4 linked regions of the Drosophila melanogaster genome follow. The protein of the gene in region 3 interacts with the protein of the main gene of each other region in a pairwise test. Each region holds a gene or a part of one and is shown on either strand. Other genes may lie near its edges.

The links.
Region 1: the proteins of Lhr (region 3) and HP6 interact in a two-hybrid assay, tested with the Drosophila melanogaster proteins (2 studies listed by BioGRID).
Region 2: the proteins of Lhr (region 3) and Su(var)205 interact in a two-hybrid assay, tested with the Drosophila melanogaster proteins (3 studies listed by BioGRID).
Region 4: the proteins of Lhr (region 3) and Hmr interact in a two-hybrid assay, tested with the Drosophila melanogaster proteins (one study listed by BioGRID).

The regions. Positions count from the first base shown.
Region 1 is NT_033779.5:4,576,932-4,580,230, forward strand, and holds HP6 (heterochromatin protein 6), read right to left. Parts: upstream 1,288-3,299; 5' UTR 1,173-1,287; coding exon 852-1,172; 3' UTR 788-851; downstream 1-787.
Region 2 is NT_033779.5:8,208,586-8,212,862, reverse strand, and holds Su(var)205 (suppressor of variegation 205), read left to right. Parts: upstream 1-1,740; 5' UTR 1,741-2,019; coding exon 2,020-2,133; intron 2,134-2,196; coding exon 2,197-2,313; intron 2,314-2,389; coding exon 2,390-2,510; intron 2,511-2,759; coding exon 2,760-3,028; 3' UTR 3,029-3,237; downstream 3,238-4,277. Other genes in the region: CG8372 (uncharacterized protein), read left to right, coding at 154-744; Ssb-c31a (single stranded-binding protein c31A), read right to left, coding at 1,029-1,304, 1,361-1,417; CG8419 (uncharacterized protein), read right to left, coding at 3,592-4,209, 4,265-4,277. UniProt on the Drosophila melanogaster protein: Structural component of heterochromatin, involved in gene repression and the modification of position-effect-variegation. Recognizes and binds histone H3 tails methylated at 'Lys-9', leading to epigenetic repression.
Region 3 is NT_033778.4:17,428,935-17,433,116, forward strand, and holds Lhr (lethal hybrid rescue), read left to right. Parts: upstream 1-2,097; 5' UTR 2,098-2,225; coding exon 2,226-3,230; 3' UTR 3,231-3,285; downstream 3,286-4,182. Other genes in the region: Mtap (methylthioadenosine phosphorylase), read left to right, coding at 1-9, 69-107; Bap55 (brahma associated protein 55kD), read right to left, coding at 491-726, 786-1,628, 1,708-1,906; EDTP (Egg-derived tyrosine phosphatase), read right to left, coding at 3,639-3,774, 3,840-4,182.
Region 4 is NC_004354.4:10,590,081-10,597,656, reverse strand, and holds Hmr (hybrid male rescue), read left to right. Parts: upstream 1-1,801; 5' UTR 1,802-2,064; coding exon 2,065-2,113; intron 2,114-2,179; coding exon 2,180-4,945; intron 4,946-5,003; coding exon 5,004-5,345; intron 5,346-5,404; coding exon 5,405-6,100; intron 6,101-6,157; coding exon 6,158-6,546; 3' UTR 6,547-6,737; downstream 6,738-7,576. Other genes in the region: CG2124 (uncharacterized protein), read right to left, coding at 1-1,407.

The sequences.
Region 1 (3,299 bases), on a different chromosome or scaffold from region 3:
GTGTGAACACACCCAAAAAGATTGCGACCGGATGCTGACGCGTCATCGATGTCGATTGCATCCAGTAGTTGGGAATTTTTCAAGTTAATTCGTGCACTTTGCATGTGAGTGGCAATTGGGCTTTGATTGATTTCGAAATGCCAGGCGGCGCCCCATTTTATTTCGCTTCTTCTCTTTCTTGTGCGCTTTTGCCATAAATCTTGCATAAATCGATTTAATCTGCCCCTGGCCACGCCCACCTGCTGGTGGGCCCCTCAATTAATTATACTTTTTCAATGTCAAAATGTCGCTGCAAGAAAGGTGCGCCACCAATTTAACCCTTTTTTTTATGTACGTATTAGTTGACTGCGTGAATCTTGAGGCGCCTGCAACATGGAATCTGAGAGCTGAGTCTGATCCTGCGGCTTAACCTTCTTTTCTAATTGCAGGTTTTCCAACGCCCCGATGTGAAGGTCACTGACAGCATTAAGTGCACTGGAAAAAGTTTAATGAGGCAAGTGCACCATTTATGAACTGTTTTTTTTATGAACTTTCAAATACCCCTACAGACTTTTCGCTCGGTGTATACATACACGTATAATTTCGCGCCCGGCAGATAATGCCGCCGGCCTGTCTCCAACATCAAGCTGCGTCTAGGAGGCGGAGGGCGTGGCTGGGCCGAGCTAAACTCACTTATTCACCTGCCCGCATGCCAACAAAGTGCAGCATCAGCAACCAGTTCGCATGAAAATGCATAATCAATCACCAGCGACAACGGCGACCAGAAAATGAAGAAAAACTCGTGGCAGAAGAGTCAATACTCTTTATTGACATTGCACCGCAATGTCTTCGGTGCACAATAGTTTTATGGACTAGGCATTTCGTGATCGTTTCTTCCTGGGACTCGGAGTGGTCTCATACCCATTGTCCGACTCCAAGTCTTCTTCATCGCCCTCATCCGTGAACACAATACGCTCCTCGTAGAACGAGATGACCATTTGGGGGCACCGAACGTTGAGCACTTCGGCGGGCACCAGGCCGGCTTCGTCGCAACCCTTCCACTGCATCAAAAAGGTCAGCTTACCGGACCAGTTGCAGGCTCCTAAGATCCGCAACGGTTCGAGTCCAAGATCAAATCCATTTCGTTGCTTCACCGGAAGAGCAGTAGAGGACGTCAAAGTGGAGCTGGGCATCTTCCGTTTGGTTTTAGATATCGTGGGATTTATTTCAATGTAATCTATTTTTCTTTTTTCGACGCGCGTAGCCAATTGTCACGTTTTGTCAAGTGTTTACACACCGAGATATTATTTTTCAGTTTCGATAACTGTAGGTATCGACATGCTTTGGCAACCCTTTCGATGTGGCAGCCCTAAATGATTAATTTGAAAAGCGTTAGAGAAAATGGAAATAAAATTGTACACTCCCCTTGACTGGACATATTCTTTCAGATTTAGTTAGGGTATTGTGCATTCCAACGCCCATTGAGCGTATCATTGGTGCATCTTCATCTGACATTTCGCACGACTCGAATGTCAAGGCGCGATTGCCGGCGATACTACTTGCGATATTGGCCTCTTACGCGGCTCCACTTGTTAACTTGAATTCGTGTAAAGTGGCCGCTCATTAAAAACTCATAAATCAGGGCGGAAGGGAGGAGGGTTTTCGGTGGCACCGCCGCCAGTAATTGCCGTTGCTGGCCCAGTGTCAAAATAAAGGCAAAATAAAGGAACCCAACTCGTCGGCGGAAATGATCGGCCACCAGGTGATGGGGATGGTGGGAATGGGGCATATGGATACTACAGCTAGCTGCCAGTAATTTCCGCATATTGGAAGTCTCGTACTCTCAGATGGGCATGTGATTAATGATTAATCTGCTCGGTGCATCCGCCGCTATGACATTTAGCCAACGCCGCCTGAGAACCCGCTGCAGCAACAAAAAGAATCCGATTCGGAATCAGAAACAGAAACAGAAGTCGGTGGCGGGGTGGCCAGTTAAAGCCGAGGTCTCCGGTCGCCAGTTGGAGCCATTAAACGCCGCTGGAGCTGCTTGGGCGCACAATTTAAAGCAGCAACTAACGCAGTTAGACAACAAACCACTTTCAAGAGCTGGCTGGCAAACAGGGAAAACGGCTTTCAACTCGTTTCGCTGCCCGCTCAGATGCAGTTGCATACACTGAGGAAAGTGATGTATGAGTTCTTCAATTTAATCGATTTTTGTGTAAGAATATTTGGCTCGGTGTGTATGTATTCCAGAAAAATAATTAATTCCAAAAGTATTTAGAAACAACATAAACTTTTTCTACATTTTCCAAAAGCTTTTATATTTAAGAACATATATATTATTAGTTTTTCATAGGAAATAATTTTCCTTCTCAAAACATATTTTTTCAAGTGTACTGCCGTTAATGCTGCTGATGCCGTGGGTGCAGCCGTTGAATGTTGCATGCTGCTAGTACGTTCAACTTTTGCAGTTAACAGTTAGATTTTGAAATGGCCAGCAGCACTGGCATCGTCGTCGGCAATGGTATCGGTTCTCTGGGATTCCAGTTTTCTGGCCACAGCCTGAGAACCCGGCGATCAAGATGCGCGGCTCCACCACGACGGAAGGAAATTGCCGTCCAAGGCGAAGTCACAGCTCCGATCGCAGCATTGCGCACATCAAATAAATACTGGTACTTGGCAATTTTTGTGTTAAAACAAAATTAAAGCAATGCCAGCCGTGCTGCTCTGCGGTGTAACATTAACCCAAATACATAATTCCCATTCTCGCCTCATCGGCATCGGACAAGGATCGGCGCATTAATCATTGGACGGCAGGGGGACAGCTCTTGGGAAGCGGCAGCATATTTGGGTTTATGGGTGAGCCCCAGTATCCTAAGCAGGAAATCATTAGAGTGCGATCCAAGGAATCCGCAGGGGTTTGGCTCATGCATACATACTTATACGTATTTCTTGGGAATTTTTTTATAGATCTTGGCTCTGCCTGATGGTCGGTTTCTAAGCCATCAAGCGGAGATCATCGCGTGACTGGGCAACAAAAACCCATTATAAATTCCTCACATTTATGATGTGTCCTTCTGTCAGCGATGATAAAAGATCCTACCAATCTGTTCTAGTCTTGTGAAATAGTCGTGTTTTGGTGGAGATAAATATATATTGATCATGAGTGTAAATAAGCTTGCCAAGAGCTGTTGGAAACTATTTGTGCAACATATCCACTTCTAAGAAGGTAGGTTTTTCGCATGGGCATGTGAAAAATAAGAGCTTTAAACAAAATCTCCATCTTATCCCTTTATTTCGCAGATCTTCACCTCAATGGT
Region 2 (4,277 bases), on a different chromosome or scaffold from region 3:
TGAACTGCGACTGCTTTATTTTCTCCTTATCGTACAATTAAAGCCCAATTGGAATTGTTAGCGACTCGTTTCATGGGCATTACGGCCGGGAAGACCGTGAGTGACTGTTCTTGTGGCTTCCCCGCACAAATATCAACCTAATACAGTGTAATAATGTCGACAAACCCAAGTCCGCAGCGGCAACAGTCCGAGGACGTTCAGATCTCGATGGCCAGTTCCGGAGGAGGAGCCGGCAATGGCGTTCCGGATAGACTGCCTCCGATCAACGTAAAGGACCAACGCTTCCCCTACTGCATCGTTTGGACTCCCATTCCGGTTCTCACCTGGCTGATGCCCATGATCGGACATATGGGCATTTGCACTTCGTCCGGTGTGATTCGTGACTTCGCCGGCCCCTACTTCGTATCAGAGGACAACATGGCCTTTGGAAGACCCACCCGGTACATAAGGTTGCACCCCAAGCACATGGTGGGCGGCAGTTACGCCTGGGACGAGGCGGTCTCCAAAGCATCTGTGCTCTACGGCACCCGCATCCACAATATCTTCTGTGACAACTGCCACTCGCATGTGGCAACGGCACTCATCTACATGCGCTACTACGACAGCACCGCATGGAACATGATTATCCTCAGCATGTGGCTCTTTGTCTGCGGCCGCTACGTCGGAATAGGGGGTTTTATTAAGACCTGGCTGCCGTTTGCCATTCTCCTGTCCATCTTCACCATTCTGGGCATCTATTTTTAATATTCATATCTATATCAAATGCTATCAATGTACAAATCTATGTACATATGACGTCCAATAAAGGATTCATTCATTTATGTATATGTGTGCTTTTTGTAGTCCCACCACAAAGCAGATAAGGAAAATACCTATCAGGCAATTAAGTTGGTCATTCATTAATGCTTCAGCAACTGTGAAAATACAGATTTTCAATTACTAGTGTTTAAGATAACGTTTATTCAGTGGATATGTCTATAGTTAGTACATATGGCTACGACTTAGTTTGGCATGTGGATGAACTTCAATTAATTCTCGATCGCGCGGGTGACTTCTTCGGCCACTTCAAGGAGTTTCTTCCATTGAATTAAAGATAGGGAGATGCCCTTCTTGCCGGGAAGAATTTGGCCGCCCTTATCGTAGAACTCTCGAATGTCCACCGATTTGCGACCGCGGAACTCGTTGATTCGCACCTGGCGAAGTCCTTCCAGGGTCCAAGATGTAGCACCATTTTCGCCCGAATCTTTTGGATCTGAATTTGGAGCATCAGATTCCTTCGCCTTCTTGCTTGCCGGCTTGATACGCTGAAAGAGGTTTTAACTTGTTATACCTAGTTTTGGTGTATTTCTAGTTAACTTACATCATCTGGACCGCTATCGCTATCTGAGGACGAATCCTTCTTCTTTGTTTTGGGCATTTTTATAGAATTTCCGTAAAACAGAAGAAACAAAACGCAAATTGTCAAAAAATTCGTGAATATTCGCGCAACTTATTCAGTGCTGTGAAACGCGTCGATAATAGTTGTGGTACAACGGATTCCTTAATCGATTCATCGATTTATTACAAAATTTTTAAAAACAGATATTGGCGATCAGTTAGTTACGTTATTATTATAGTTATGTTGTAAAATTTAGATAGTTCTTAGTGTTAACATTTTTCTAGACTTAAAATGAAATTAATACGATGTGCAAATCTATCGGAAAATAGATAAGCGTAGTCTTAGCAGTCCACGCGTACTTTCGCACACTGTTCGGCCGGCGTCATTTTAGAACGCGCATTTTTTTGCAGATTTTTCATTTTGTGGAAAGTCTTCTAGCGCCAACACACAGGCTTATAAAAACCAATTTAGCTGCGTGCATAAAGTGTAGATCTTATTTAATCTAGGTGAGCCATGAAAGCAAAGAGAGTCGACTAAAAATCGTACTTTCCTTTCGTACTTTGCGTGTGTGTGCGGTTGTGTGCGGTTGTGCTAATTCTTTCCTTATTTTTTGTCGTGTGAAGTATTTTAATAAAAACAAAATGGGCAAGAAAATCGACAACCCTGAGAGCTCGGCAAAGGTTTCCGATGCCGAAGAGGAGGAGGAGGAGTACGCCGTGGAAAAGATCATCGACAGGCGGGTGCGCAAGGGAAAGGTGAGTTTTCCGAACCAGACGTCCCATTATATTTGGTCCTAAAACGCCATTTTCCACCTGCAGGTGGAGTACTATCTGAAATGGAAGGGCTATCCCGAAACTGAGAACACGTGGGAGCCGGAGAACAATCTCGACTGCCAGGATCTTATCCAGCAGTACGAGGCGAGCCGCAAGGATGAGGTAAGTGAAGTACAATGCGATGCCAAGTACAGTTGTGCTTGCTAGGATTTCCTTTACATCTCGTTTCGGTCCGTAGGAGAAGTCAGCCGCCTCCAAGAAGGATCGACCCAGCAGCAGCGCCAAGGCCAAGGAAACTCAAGGACGCGCCAGCAGTTCGACGTCCACAGCAAGCAAGCGAAAGTCCGAAGAACCAACAGGTAAGCTATGGAATTGAGTGTACCTACAAATATTTTCTGTACACAAATTGGTATAACAATAGTCATCACCTACAATATCCACTGGCATTTATTTGCCCTTTTCGTCAAAACTGTATTCACATATGTATCTCAAATTTTGTCCTTCGCAAGAATGGCATGCGCAAGAAAAAGATGGTCTTTGCAATAAAAAAATGCATCTATTAAAAAATTGCACTGTATTAATTACTTGTTTTTATTTTATTTATTTAGCGCCCTCTGGCAATAAATCAAAACGTACCACAGATGCGGAGCAGGACACCATTCCCGTTTCAGGATCTACCGGATTCGATCGCGGCCTGGAGGCCGAAAAGATCTTGGGTGCCTCCGACAATAATGGCCGCCTGACATTCCTCATTCAGTTCAAAGGCGTGGACCAAGCAGAAATGGTGCCCTCCTCAGTGGCCAATGAAAAAATCCCACGAATGGTAATCCACTTCTACGAAGAGCGCCTATCCTGGTACTCTGATAATGAAGATTAAACAGTTGGATCATCGAAAGCGAAAAAGAACGATTATACATTTAACGAAAAATTACCCACTTAGAATTATAGCTCCTTGCAGGCGCTTTCAAAACCACCCAACCAACTCTTAAGGCATCGGACTTTTTTCCATAAATGTCCAGAGTCAGTGTCTGTATTTATGATAACCATTTTCAATAAATAAAAAAAACCTTTATTCTGCTGGAGCCTATATAAGTAACTTTTATTTGCGACTTGTTGCTCAACGGTCAGGATATGACGCGCATATGCTGACCATATGGTAATAAGGAGAATTCAATTGGTAATTCCAGAGGTCGAAAGGGATTTTGTAGCCTTAGCAATCTGAGATTATTGTGTGCACATTGTAAATGGACTGTCGGGTCTGTTGGAATGCATGTATTTTGCAGGTAGAAAAACGTTTATTTTGAAGTATCCTTGTTGTCTATCTGCGCGTGCGTATAAACTACAAGATCTTTGAAATTTCACAAGATGAACAAACAAAATGGCGAAACCTGGCTATATGTTAATTTATTCGTTTTATAGCCCTGCATCCTAATCAATTACTTAAGAATTAAGCAGTTTGTTGGCCACATTGCATTCCGAGTTCTCAAGGACATTTCCACAGCAGGACCAATGACGTCTCCCTGGATGTCCAGCATGTCCATGACCGCAGCCACTATATCCAGGCATATGACCCTCACACGAGCACATCACGTTCCGGTTGCCCTTTCCGGAACAGAAGGAGCAGCAGTGGTAGATGCCCGTATGCGGACGAACCTGTCGCGCTTGAAAAGTGAAAGGACCTCCCTTGATGGGCCGGTCGTTAATGGTGATCGTGAGAATCAACGTGCCCTGGGCATCCGGGGTGAAGGATATGTTGTAGGTGCCATCACGATTGTCCGACACCTCAACGGGTAGAAACTTGGAACTGGAGTCCTTGTACTTCAGCATGCAGTTGATCTCCAGGCCACCGTGGCAGAGGGAAACCCCGTCGGCATCTCTAGAGTGAAGCAGAAGATCCGCTTTTTTGTGGAGGCGCAGCTGTGAAAATCCCTCCCACTCAAGGGTGCATAGACTAGGCTCCACTACCTGCATGGTGATGATGCCATATAGAGGGATATCGCGCTGGTCCTTTGTCGACGGAGCACGGATTTTTGGTAGGAAGTGAAGCGAGTCGGATATCTGGGTAAAATGGTTTACTTTATAAAACAATAAAACAAGCAATTTGGTAACCTACCTTGGGATCCACA
Region 3 (4,182 bases):
AATGCCAAGGTGAGTGAGCCGAGATAAACATCATTTAAAACTAAGTTCATCATGTGTTCCGCCCATAGCAATGCGTTTGCAACAACACAATGTCTGGAGCCATGTGACGATTTATAAAACTTTGCCACGAAATAACAGAAGAGACGCTGATTCGCCGCAAGATTTATGTGCCACCGCTCTATCAACAGTTCCACAAAAAGCGAGGACCCAGAGTTCACTCCATATCCATTACGTACGAATTAGATCCGAAAGACAAAAGGCAGCCGGTGAAAACTCCATTGAAATGTGAAACTGTAACGTCCGCGTCAGCGTCGCAGTAAATATATACATATGTGTGTAACTAAAAACATTTCCGTAATCAAATGCAATCTATTCCTAAACAAACGCTCAGATGTCTTCTGAATAATGGGACACTTTTCACATTTCACATTTATATTATTACATAGAGTTGCGTCTTTAAAATTAAAATTGGAATTCGATTGCGCTGTCCTTACGGACACTTCCGCTCGACTTGGCTCTTGCCGGCCTCTTCGTACTCCTGCGACGATATCCACATCTGTTGGAAAGTACCTATGCTGGCTAGAATAGAGCCGCCAATCCAGGCTCCAAATCTTCGCTCCACGCTGCCATTGGCAGAAATCATTTTTAGGCGCGTATTTGAGGGGGCACGCAGCTGGAGATCGCGATTTAGGCGCTCCGGAAAGCCTTGCAGAAGGGTATTGCCACCTAAGAGCAAAATATTAAGGTATAAGTAATTAGTTTTAAAACCTAGGGAAAATTCATACCAGTAACGACAACTGAGCCGAAAAGTGACAGCCGCACATCCGCATCACACATGCCCACACTGGTGGACGCCAATTGGCCAGCTCCCAGCATTGCATTGTCAAAGAGACTCTCGGCTATCTTGAACCGCTCAGAGCCAAAGTCCTGATGATAACCATTAGGAAACTCATAGTGTACCGTCGGGATTTGAGCAGCAACCCGTTCGTCGAACGGATTTTCTAGGACCTGCAGCACATTCATCTGAAAGTCTTGCATCATGAGCTGCAACATGTAGTTTTGCCACGACTGAGTTAGGTTCTCTGGCAGTTTGCGCAGCGTGAAGCGTCCGTTGTCGCGCTCCTTAACAACGTCTTTGGAGGCAATCTTGTATACCGGCGACAGATCAATGCCGTGCTTCTCCAGATGCTGGCGGCACTGTCGTGAAAGGAAGTCTCCACCCAGGGGTGACTTAACCACCGCCTGGGATAGGACATAGCCCTCATGGACGGGAACGGCCGAGGTGTGGGTGGCTCCACTATCGACAACCAAAGCGGTGGCCCGCCCGCTGGAGAAGGCAGCCAGAACGGCGTTCTTTACCAGAAAGAAGGCTGGAACATTGTACTTCTCGAACATAAGCTCGGTTAGCTTCTCGCGGTTGTTGCGGACATTCCACGATGCCTCGGAAAAGAGCACGGGATGGTATTCCGGCTCCGACTGAATGACATTGGCGTAGGCATAATCAATAACCTTCTCAAACAGGTCCCAGTTGTCAATCATGCCGTCTTTCATATAGGTCTGCACCTCCATATTGGAACGGGGAACGGTCACGTAGTTGGTGTCCACATAGAACTTGCGCTGGTCAGCATCTAGAGTAGGGGTAGGGATTGCCGGTTTTTCCGGGTTTTTAAAAGCCATAAACTAAATAAAGGCGATGTAGAAACTAACTATTTGGCGTGGCATTGTTGTCTGTTTTAGTTTCCGGATCGAGATTGGTCTCTGGAGCTGCTCCAATCCCCACAACCGAGGGTATCTCCGCCTTGGGCGAATCCTCCTGTGCGTAGCCCACTCGCAAGGAATGATGTCCAGGATCGAAGACCAGGGCGCCGATCTCGTCGCCGCCATATAGCATGGTGCCGCCACTCATATTGGGGCGTTCCGATTATTTTTTTCGCACGTTGTGTTCAAGTAATTCGCGAAAATACTTCCGTCTGTGTATATTTTGCGGCTTTTTTCACGACGCTTCTTCCTCGCTGGAGATGGTCTGATAAGTTATCGATTGTTTAAGCCAAATATTTTCCTACCTATCGCTTTGGTCGCTTACCTATCGATTGCTGTTCTCAAACAATTTCCATCGCTATTAGTTAGCAAACACAAATTAAAACTCGGATTCTAAAAACATAGATTTTATTAAAGAAATTACCGTTAAGTGGTATATTAAAACATACGGATGAATTAGTACACAAATGTGTTGTAGAACGTTGGAGAAACACAGTGCGAAAAATATTAAAATGAGTACCGACAGCGCCGAGGAAACGGTGATCCATTCCACTGTTCCCCATTTGGAGATTAACATATCAAACACCAACATCAGCGGCCAGATTGTTTTAAACGACTTGCTGCTCATGGAGATGCTCGCCCGGTATCCCTTCCTTATCATCCCGCAGGTGGAGCCCAAAATGGACGTTGACTACGACTCCTGGGGTTGGGATCAGCTGGCCAAGTCCTTTAACCAAAGCTACGAGCACGTTGAGCTGAGTACTCCGTTCTCCGTAAGTGAACTGAAGCTGCGTTGGGTGAAGCTGCGCCCGCTGGTCAGAGCCTTGGCCGGTTCCAAAGGGCAAATCCCTGAACCTCTGTGGCGGGTGATGCACGATGTGCACATTCGCATGCAAGCCCCGAATCCGGCGGATGTGCCGAAAACCAAGTGTCAGGAGTTTCTTCTCAGTCAGTTGCCTTTCGTGAAATCTATGGCGCAAGCGGAACGCCGGCATTTAGAAGTGGAGGTCCTCGCCCTCATCCTGGAGCAAGAGCGCCAAGAGAAAGCTACTCGAAAGCTGGGTCCTAAGGACCTGGAGACGGTTCAGAGCGAATACGACGAATTTCTTAAAGCGATACGGGTGAAAGAGCTCCCAGCAGACAATTTACTCAGTCCGGCCATGGACAGATTCGGCATTAGCCCACACAAAATAAGACCCAATGTCGCAAGTGCCAATAAAAGAATCAGATATAATAATGCTTGCAAAGGATCAAATGATGTCAAAATCAAAATAGAAACAGCTATTGAACCTAAAATTAAAGATACAACAAAATGTGACGAACGACCGATAGAAACACCACGCTTCGTTCCTCTTAAAAGCGCGAAATACTACATTAAAAGGTGTCGCATCCGGCTGAAGCGAGTGGAAATTGATGATTATTTACCCTTAGCTAGAATACGGCGCTCAAGGCGGCCTACGCTGAGAACATGACTTTCTTTCGTATAAAATGCACATAAGTTTATTAAAAAATACATTACTATAAATTACAACTTAAAACTATTGTATAATCCAAATAGCATTTTATATTTCACTTGCTTTGCATTCTCGAAGAACTAATAACTAAACAAACAAGGAGCGGGAGAACCTAGAGAACAGGAGAGCGGTTTAGCCGGGGCAGAAGGACGACAGGATTTTGTTTGCTCGTTGCCTACGATCGCCTGGTTCTTTCGATGCTTATCGGTAATCAGTAATCCGTTACACTACACAATCGTCAACAGATACTAAAGAACGCAATTTAACAGGTCTATAAATACAGTCGTTGGTTGAAAGCGTAGCACTTAACAAGAAACAAACAATGTTGATGAAATCTAACAAACGGTCATAGCTGCTAATCCTTTCTCAAAACAGTTGGTCCGCCAGGTTCCCAATGAACGTGGCCAGGTTCATGGATGAGCCCTCCTTGAATTTCAGTCCAATCGTCTTGCCGTAGGCTTGTATAAAAATGGCGCGCACTGCATTCAGGCGTTGCTTTCGTCTCCAATTGTAAAACAAAATTATGTCATTATGTATTTGCTGTCGAATAATCAGACTACAACTTACAAGTTGATGCATTGCTTGCTGGCCATAGTGCTGCCGCCTACGTCTTTGGAGGAACCGTTTGCGAAACCGTGCGTCGAGCTGCCGTTACTGATACTGCTACCACTTCCGCTCCCACTGCCACTCGATGCTGCATTGATGCTGCAGTGGTAACCATTGCCGCCATTGCATAAAGGAATGTTTGAGGAGCCGCCACCATCGGCTGCCTGTTGCGCCACAAAGCGCATCATGTAGCTGCCGTTCATCATGGAGTCAATTGAACCCGTGTCGGTAACCACCTGCCAGCTACCATTGGACGATGTAGACTCCTGTCTTTGCCGCGCATTTGATCCGGGCACTGAAATGG
Region 4 (7,576 bases), on a different chromosome or scaffold from region 3:
GTAATTGCGGCCCATCTGCTGTCGTTGCTTCTCGGTAACCAGTGCTCCCTGGTATTCCGGCCCCAGGAGGCGTGCGAACCCATCCAAATGGAAGTACTCACGCCCGGGCAATCCGCTTGGGTACGCATGCTTCAGGAAACGCGGCTCCAGTGCCACGCCCAAAAGCTCAAGATCGTAAACACCACGCATTGTGAGAAACTGAAGGCAGTTGGAGAAACAACGAGGATGGCGCAGTATCTCCTCTATACGCTGGCGCAGCAAATCGGGCAATCTCTCCGCCAACCGGCGTTCCACTCCCGACTTAGTTGTAATATTGAAAAGGGCCATTACCAGACAAATTCGCTCCATATCCTTGAGGCGGGCAGTCTCTAACTCACGCTCGAATCTCAGCAGTATGCGCTCCACCAGTGCATCATTGCACGTTTGCAGTTCACAGCCCAGAAGAGCCATGTGCAGGCACGTGAGGAGGGAAACGCGATCCACTTGCGACTCTAGAGCGCTTAACATCTTCTTTAGCGGCTCCACTTGTGGCAGCTTGCTGCTGTACCGCAGCACCTTGAGCAGCGCTACCAGGACAATGTCTTCCACGGTGTCCAGCTCGCTGCCTAATCGCTGATAGAGTTGCGTTAGCAGCTCCGGATTTCTGATAGGCGTCTGTGTCTTAAAGAAGCCCATGGCCATTACGCCCAATTCGGACAGCGTCATTTGATCCACGCAGCGGGCCAGATTCAACTCGAAATCGAACATCTCGAAGACGGGTCGGCGCAGTAGATTGCACAGGAACATGGAGTGAACGAGCTGTTCTGGCGGCAGCTTTCGCAGCTTGCGGCCGAGCTTTTTCAGCGCCAGCCACACGTACTCGCCTATCCTGACCAGACCAAGACGATACCAGGCATCGCTCACGAGTAGCAATTGTTCACTGGACCATCGCTCGATGCGGCGACAGCACTCGATGTCCAGGGTATTCCATATCTCCATGTAGTTCTTGGCTTTGGGCGATTCCGGTACGGGCAGCTCGGCCAAGGCACTAAGCGATCCAAGAAGTTGTTCATCCGTAAGGCGATGCAGCTGCTCACAGAAGCAGCGGGTAAAGGCTTCGTAGCGGCTATCGCTGATCTTCAGTTCCATGCGATTACAGTGCCTCACCAGGCCTAAAAAGTCCGCATAGAGATCGGCAGCACTGGCATCTGGCTGTGGCCGCATAAAGCCTTCAGATGCGGGCAAATCCTGCCAGGCGGAGTCCCGAGGACGCAGTATTGCATACGGTTTGAGAGAATCCATCAGGATTCCATGGGCGAACTGATTCTCTCGGTCCGCAAATATTCGCGCTGGTGAAACGATCGTCGTGCATACTTGGCGGCGCAGACGTCCCACACTTCGCCAGAGGTAGTTTGTTCTTGCCCACATGTTTTAGAGCGATATTTGGTTGTAAATTAATTCAATTCAATTGAATTTGAATGGAAAACGCGTTATGAAAACATTCGTTGAAAAACCTGCCGGCTAAACAGCTGACTGGTAAGCAGCGTTGCCAGAACGAAGAAATTGGAGTGCTCGCAAGTGGGAGAACTTAACGAAATATTCTGCTCTCAGCGCTTGGCTGCTATCGATAACTCCACTGATATCCAAATGGGTAGCTACTAGAATGTAGCTTTACAAATTGTAACGTGTTTTTTCAACTTATTTTTGTTTAACTTAACACAAACAAAAATATTTAGCTATACAATTCTATTTCACACTCAAATATTAATCGAATGTTTCGATAACGGTATCCGTGGTCGATAACGCTCTTTAACCATTTTGCGTTTGCAACCGCCGACTATCTGGCGTCGCAAGAAACCTTATTTACGTAGATATATTTACGTAGATACGCTTGCACTTAATAATCCTGTAGTTGCAAGTTGTTCCCAAACTATTTCCGAGTGATTTTATGCTACAAAAGAGTGAAGAGTGAAGCAGTGGTTCCATCGGATTGCCCACCGGTTTCTCCGTTCCGAGAATTCTCGACGGCTTGTGTGGGGGAAAGGCGCGCGTAGGTCAAGATTGGAGCTATCAGGTGTCTAGGACATGGAGGAGGAGCCTGTTGCCATTGAAAATGATTGCCAGATAATTGTTTGTAAGTCCGACAGTTGGTCACCTGGTCAGCCGTTCAACTAACTTCCGTTTTTTTTTTTCCTCAAAGCTGACACAATTGGTCAGAAGACGAATGGCGTGGATGACGATAAGGCCCCAAATCCGTTCAGCAGATGCACTTATCCGGGATCTCGGGATGGCGGCATTCTGCAAACCTATAGGGCAGAGAGGCTGCTCATCGCTTTGGTACGCCGCCAGCCGCTATTGTATGACGCCCGGCATCCGAAATTCCGCGACGTCGCTCAAAGGGAGAAACAATGGAAAAAAATCGCCAGCCGCCTGGCAACGAATGCGACCAACTGCAAGAGATCCTGGTCGGCGCTGCGATATAAATATCAGCGCCATGTTCGTCGTCTAAGAAACTTTCATCGCAGTGCCATCCAAAAAGATCGGGCGGCCCTGCGTTGGCGTCCTTGCATGGAATACGAGGAAGAGATGCGCTTCATGTATACCCATGTGGCCAGATTCCCACTGATTGTCGACAAGATTCCGACAGAGATTCTTGAAAAAGAGCATGTGGATGAGAGCGAAACCCGGCCCGATGTGGAGGTCATAGAGAATCCGCCAATGGACATCATAGATTTGGATGTCGAGGAGGACCCCACCTATAACTACCGTTGCAACAGGTTACAGCGTCGCCTCATAGAGGCAGTCAGTGCCTATCCCCTTCTGTACGATAGCACGTGCACGGGCTATCAGAACACACGACATCGCTTTCTAATCTGGAGTGCCATTTCAAACGAAGTCCATGACAAAGCCACCAAGCTGATGAAGTGCTGGCTAAAGCTGCAGACTCGCTACGAATGGGAGTTAATCCATCGCCCACGTCATATCGGCACTTCGGAGCTGTGTCGGTTGATGGACTTCATGGAACCGCACGTACAGCGCATGCGCGGCACCGTATGCAAGTCTTCCAAGTACCTGCAAAACGGTTGGCACGAGCCCATTGAGAATTTCCACACTGTGATGGCGCTGATCACCACGATGCGCAACATGCCAGAACTAGTTCAGCTGACGGAGGACTCCCTGCACAACAAGGTGAAACCGCCGCGCTACGACGAATTCTGGCAGAAGGTCGGCATGGAAGTGATGTGTAGTCACGAGCACTGCGAGGTCACCTGGCTGGTGCTGCGCGCCTTTTACCACGAATTGCAGGCCGTGCGCTCATCCGGCTATCAGCTGCAGGACAAGTGGTTCTTTGAGGGCTCCATGGGTCTGGCCTTAACGCCAGTTACCTCTCGTTCCACGGCCCGTCCCGCACTAAAGCGGACAGCCAACGGCGCCATACCAGTGGCGGGGGAGCCTCCGGCCAAAACACCGGTGCCGGTACGTATGCCATTGGCTATTGTCTATCCGTCCACCTCAAAAGGCAGCAGCACGAGCATGACCAACAGTGCAAGCACTGCCACAAGCATTGGCCCCACCTTCACCAATGTTAGGAGGTCCTCTGGCCCAGTCATTAACAACACATCCACCGCCGCCGCCGCAACGAACAGCGTCAGTTCGAGTGTATCGCCCGATCAAGCTCTTCCCAAGTTTGTGATTCCCAAAATCACGTCCGCCATCAGTGTGGGCTCGGGATATATGATACCCCTAAAGTTTGTGCCCAACGTACGAATTTTGCCCAAGCCGGCGGCGACTATGGGAACGGGCGTGTCCCCCATCGCCACCACCAATCAGATGGCGGGCCCAAACGCAAAGCCGCCTGAAGTGCGTCCACAGATAACGCAGGGTCCTGGCTTACAGGTTAAGCTCCATACGAAGCCTCAAATGGCCAGTAGACCGCAAATGGCACCTGTAGTCCCCCGCACTGTAATTCGAACAACGAATCCAACCAATCCAGCTCAAACTCAAGACAGGGTATCCGGAGGGCCAATGTCGACACTGGGTGAACTGCTTAGGCCACAAAATCCATCGCAAATACGTTCACCAGCTCCGCAACAAACACTGCCAAATTTTGTACCAATAACAACATCGAATATTACAGCTAAAAGCAATCTGCCAACACCCACTGCGGCTCCAATGGTACGAATACACCAGCCGGGACTGAAAAGCGCTTGGGATGGCAAAAGCAATAGCGCTCCGTTCAGTAAGCCAATAAGATCACTATTAACCACATCTTCGCCTGCAGCTGCTCCTATTGTAGCAACTGCGGAACCAGCGAGAGCAAAAATAATACCACCAAAGCCCAAATTGCCAGCAACAACATTAGTAAACCCCAAAAAATATCAACCAATCGTACCGGTAGCAGTACTACCTACAGCAGCAACCAGGATGGCCAAACCTGCAACAGAACCAGCAACTGAGCTGCCTGTAACTACGCCACCAATCGCCACTGGACAAACAACTCGAGTCATACGAAAAACACCATTATTTCCTACATCTGCAACACAAGCTGCATCTGACTCATATGCCACAATACAGGGCACATTAGCAAGCCAGGCTAAAGCTGTGGGAGCAGCAATATCAGCACCAGTGGTCAGACCAGCCAAATTGCCGACAGTAGCCAAGGCAACAACAGCATCGCAGTCAGATATAAAAGCAACTGCAGCCGCATCCGCAACCCTAGGCAGTCAGCCGGAGAACTTGCCGCTTGGCAACATAACCGTGTGTCTGCACGAGAGTGATACCACTGGGAATGAACTGCAAGTTTGGTGCGGAAATCAGGGTACTCGCTTCAATCTCAATATGATTAGGACGACGACGTTGATCCGCGAGGTGATGGCTGTGCCGCAGCTGCACAAGGAAGATCCACAGTTGGCGGCCAAGTGTGTTGAGTTCTGGCATTTTATCGCCAAGAAGTTTCACATGCCAGGTAGGAGTAACTATATATATATTAGAAACATTGGCTCATACGTTCTTTTGTTCTGCAGAGGAAGCTTTGCGCGCATGCTGGAAATTCTTGGCGGCCAACATGAGTGTGTTTCCAAAAATTGCGCCGATGTCGGAACTGATGCGTCCGTTTAAGTACAGCGAAAAAGTGTGGGAAAAATCGAATCGCTTGTTTGGCAAATTTGACGAGATAGCGCTAAAATACCAGTGGTTGAATCACAAGAACGTGTTGCCGGAAGTAATACGCTTCTTCGCGAAGTACGAGTACCTCTACTGCGATTTACGCAGGCCGCGACCTGGCGAAGATGCTCAAGCTCCGCCCCAGTTGACGAATCAGGAGAAGCAGGAGGTGTGGCGGGAGGCCCGCCTTAAATTCCCAAATCGTATGTTTAATAAATGTTATAAGCCAATCATTTATTAGTAATTTTCTGTTCTTTTGCAGTCAATCATCGGGATATTTGGTCAATGTTTAAGTTCGCCTTCCGCACATACCTGGATGATTTAGAGCGCGGCATCGATAATCCCTGGCCGCAGAATTGGTGGCAGGCACTGGAGCAACTCAGGTTTCTGGTCAATGTGCGCTACCATCCGCTCGAGCCCTACTACTATATAGTGCACAACAGGATGTCAGAGGAGGTGAAGCGCTGCAAAATGCACGAGGCTCTAACGTCCTCCGATCATATCGATAAGACCAAATTTACACCGAGCAAACTTTTAACGGGCTTTTCCAAAGAACCCAAGCCATGGGAGACGGAGGAGGCCAAGCGCTTGCTTACCGGCAAGTTGAATAGCGTGAGAAGCACTGAAACTCTCACTCAAATTGCTCCAGCTCCGGCTCTAGCTTTGGCACCCGATGCCCAACCTATTCCTGTACCTGATGGCGTTTCCGTGTCCAAAAAGACAAGCGAAAGCAAGCCAGCGTCAAACGCCAACGTCAAGTCTCATAAAGACAAGAATATCTCCACCGCCCAAAAGCGGCCGACCCCAGCGAGAAGTGTCACCTGTAACAATCTATCCCCCATTGAGGCGTTTGAGTTGTGTAAGAAATTGCGTAGCCAACCAAACAGCTTCGAGCGGGCGAGCACTCTGGACAAGCGAGCCGCCTGGGTTCGCGTATCAAAGGAGTTGCATGCCACAGGTAATCATTTGCAAATATGTCAATTTAGACATTTGATTAAAAGTACATATTTTGCAGTGACCGAATGCCGCCTTGGTCTGCAGTACGCTCTGCGCGAGATGCGCAATCTGAAGATCGCCGATCCAAGCAATCAATGTACAATGGGCCACAAGTACTTGCACCACATGTCGGAAATCTATAAGCAGGTGAAGCCGAACGCCCAGCTGACAGTCCGCACGCCACAGCAGCTCAACCAGTTAAACGAATCGCTTGCGAAGAACACTCAGGAAGTTAGCCCGCAGGAGTTCCTGCCTGAGATCAATTTGTCCACTTGCAGTCCGGATCTCGTGGTGAAGAATTGGGCCTACGCCGTCGGTAACTTGTCCACGGCCAGTCAGGATACACTGCTCGGCAAGATGACGCAGCTGTTCTCTAAATACGCCAAGGTCAATCCGCCACCGCCTTAGCTCTCGAAACTTTTGGCACACGTAGTTTAGTCATACATATTCTCTGTAAGAACTTTCGCCGTACCATTGACACCCTTCATTGCCACAGAATACATCTTATTTATTATTAAGTGCATGAAATTGCAATAACTTTTTTTTTTTTTTTAAGAGCCCTCTAGAATAACTTGAATAAATGGCCACAGTCAACTTTCATATGATGTTTTGCACTGGGACTGTTAAATTTAAGATTTTAAGAGTTCCTGAGTACCATAGGTATAATACCAAACTGAAACTTGCGCAATAATAAACAGTATCTAATGTTGTTAGACGCTTAAAGTCGCAGAATGATAGCGATGAGGGCAAGGCCCCATGATTATATGTCGGTCAGCCGGCCCCGCCCACTTGTATGGCCTCTCCGAGGACATGAAAGTAAGCCCGAATAAATTGGGCGTGCAATTGGGAAAAGATTTGATTGCCAAGTTCCTGGAGGAGTGGCTAGATAATAAGGCGCACGTAAAACACAGGGGATGATTGTCTAGGACAAAGGAATGGCCAAACTATTTGACGATATACTATTTAAAGGATTTTAGTAATCCTCCCACATTTCTTTCGAAATGACGAACAGTAAACAACGGTTACTTTTTGGCTCTACCACCTTCTTCGCCAAGTTATAAGGAAAATATCAGATTTTCCTTTTTGCAGTTTTTTGTTAAAAAAAAATCACAATTTCTTCGAAAGCAATTAAAATAATTGTCCAAATGTGGAATGTCACACCTCATTGAATTCGTAAAAAATTCCCTATCGACCTGGATTCAAAGTTGGAAATTCTAATTTTTTGCCATTTTTCGCAAATTTTGATGATGGGTACCCCTTATCAAAAATGCGAAAATTTGTTACAAAATTTTTTTTTTGGAATCATAAAAATAGTGATAGGGATGGTTAGCTATACCTAATGGCAGTACAAAACAGTCTTTATTTTAGCTGTGCCACCTTTTTTGGCCAAGTTATGGGGTGAAATCCCGTTGCATTATATCACATTTAGACGTCATGT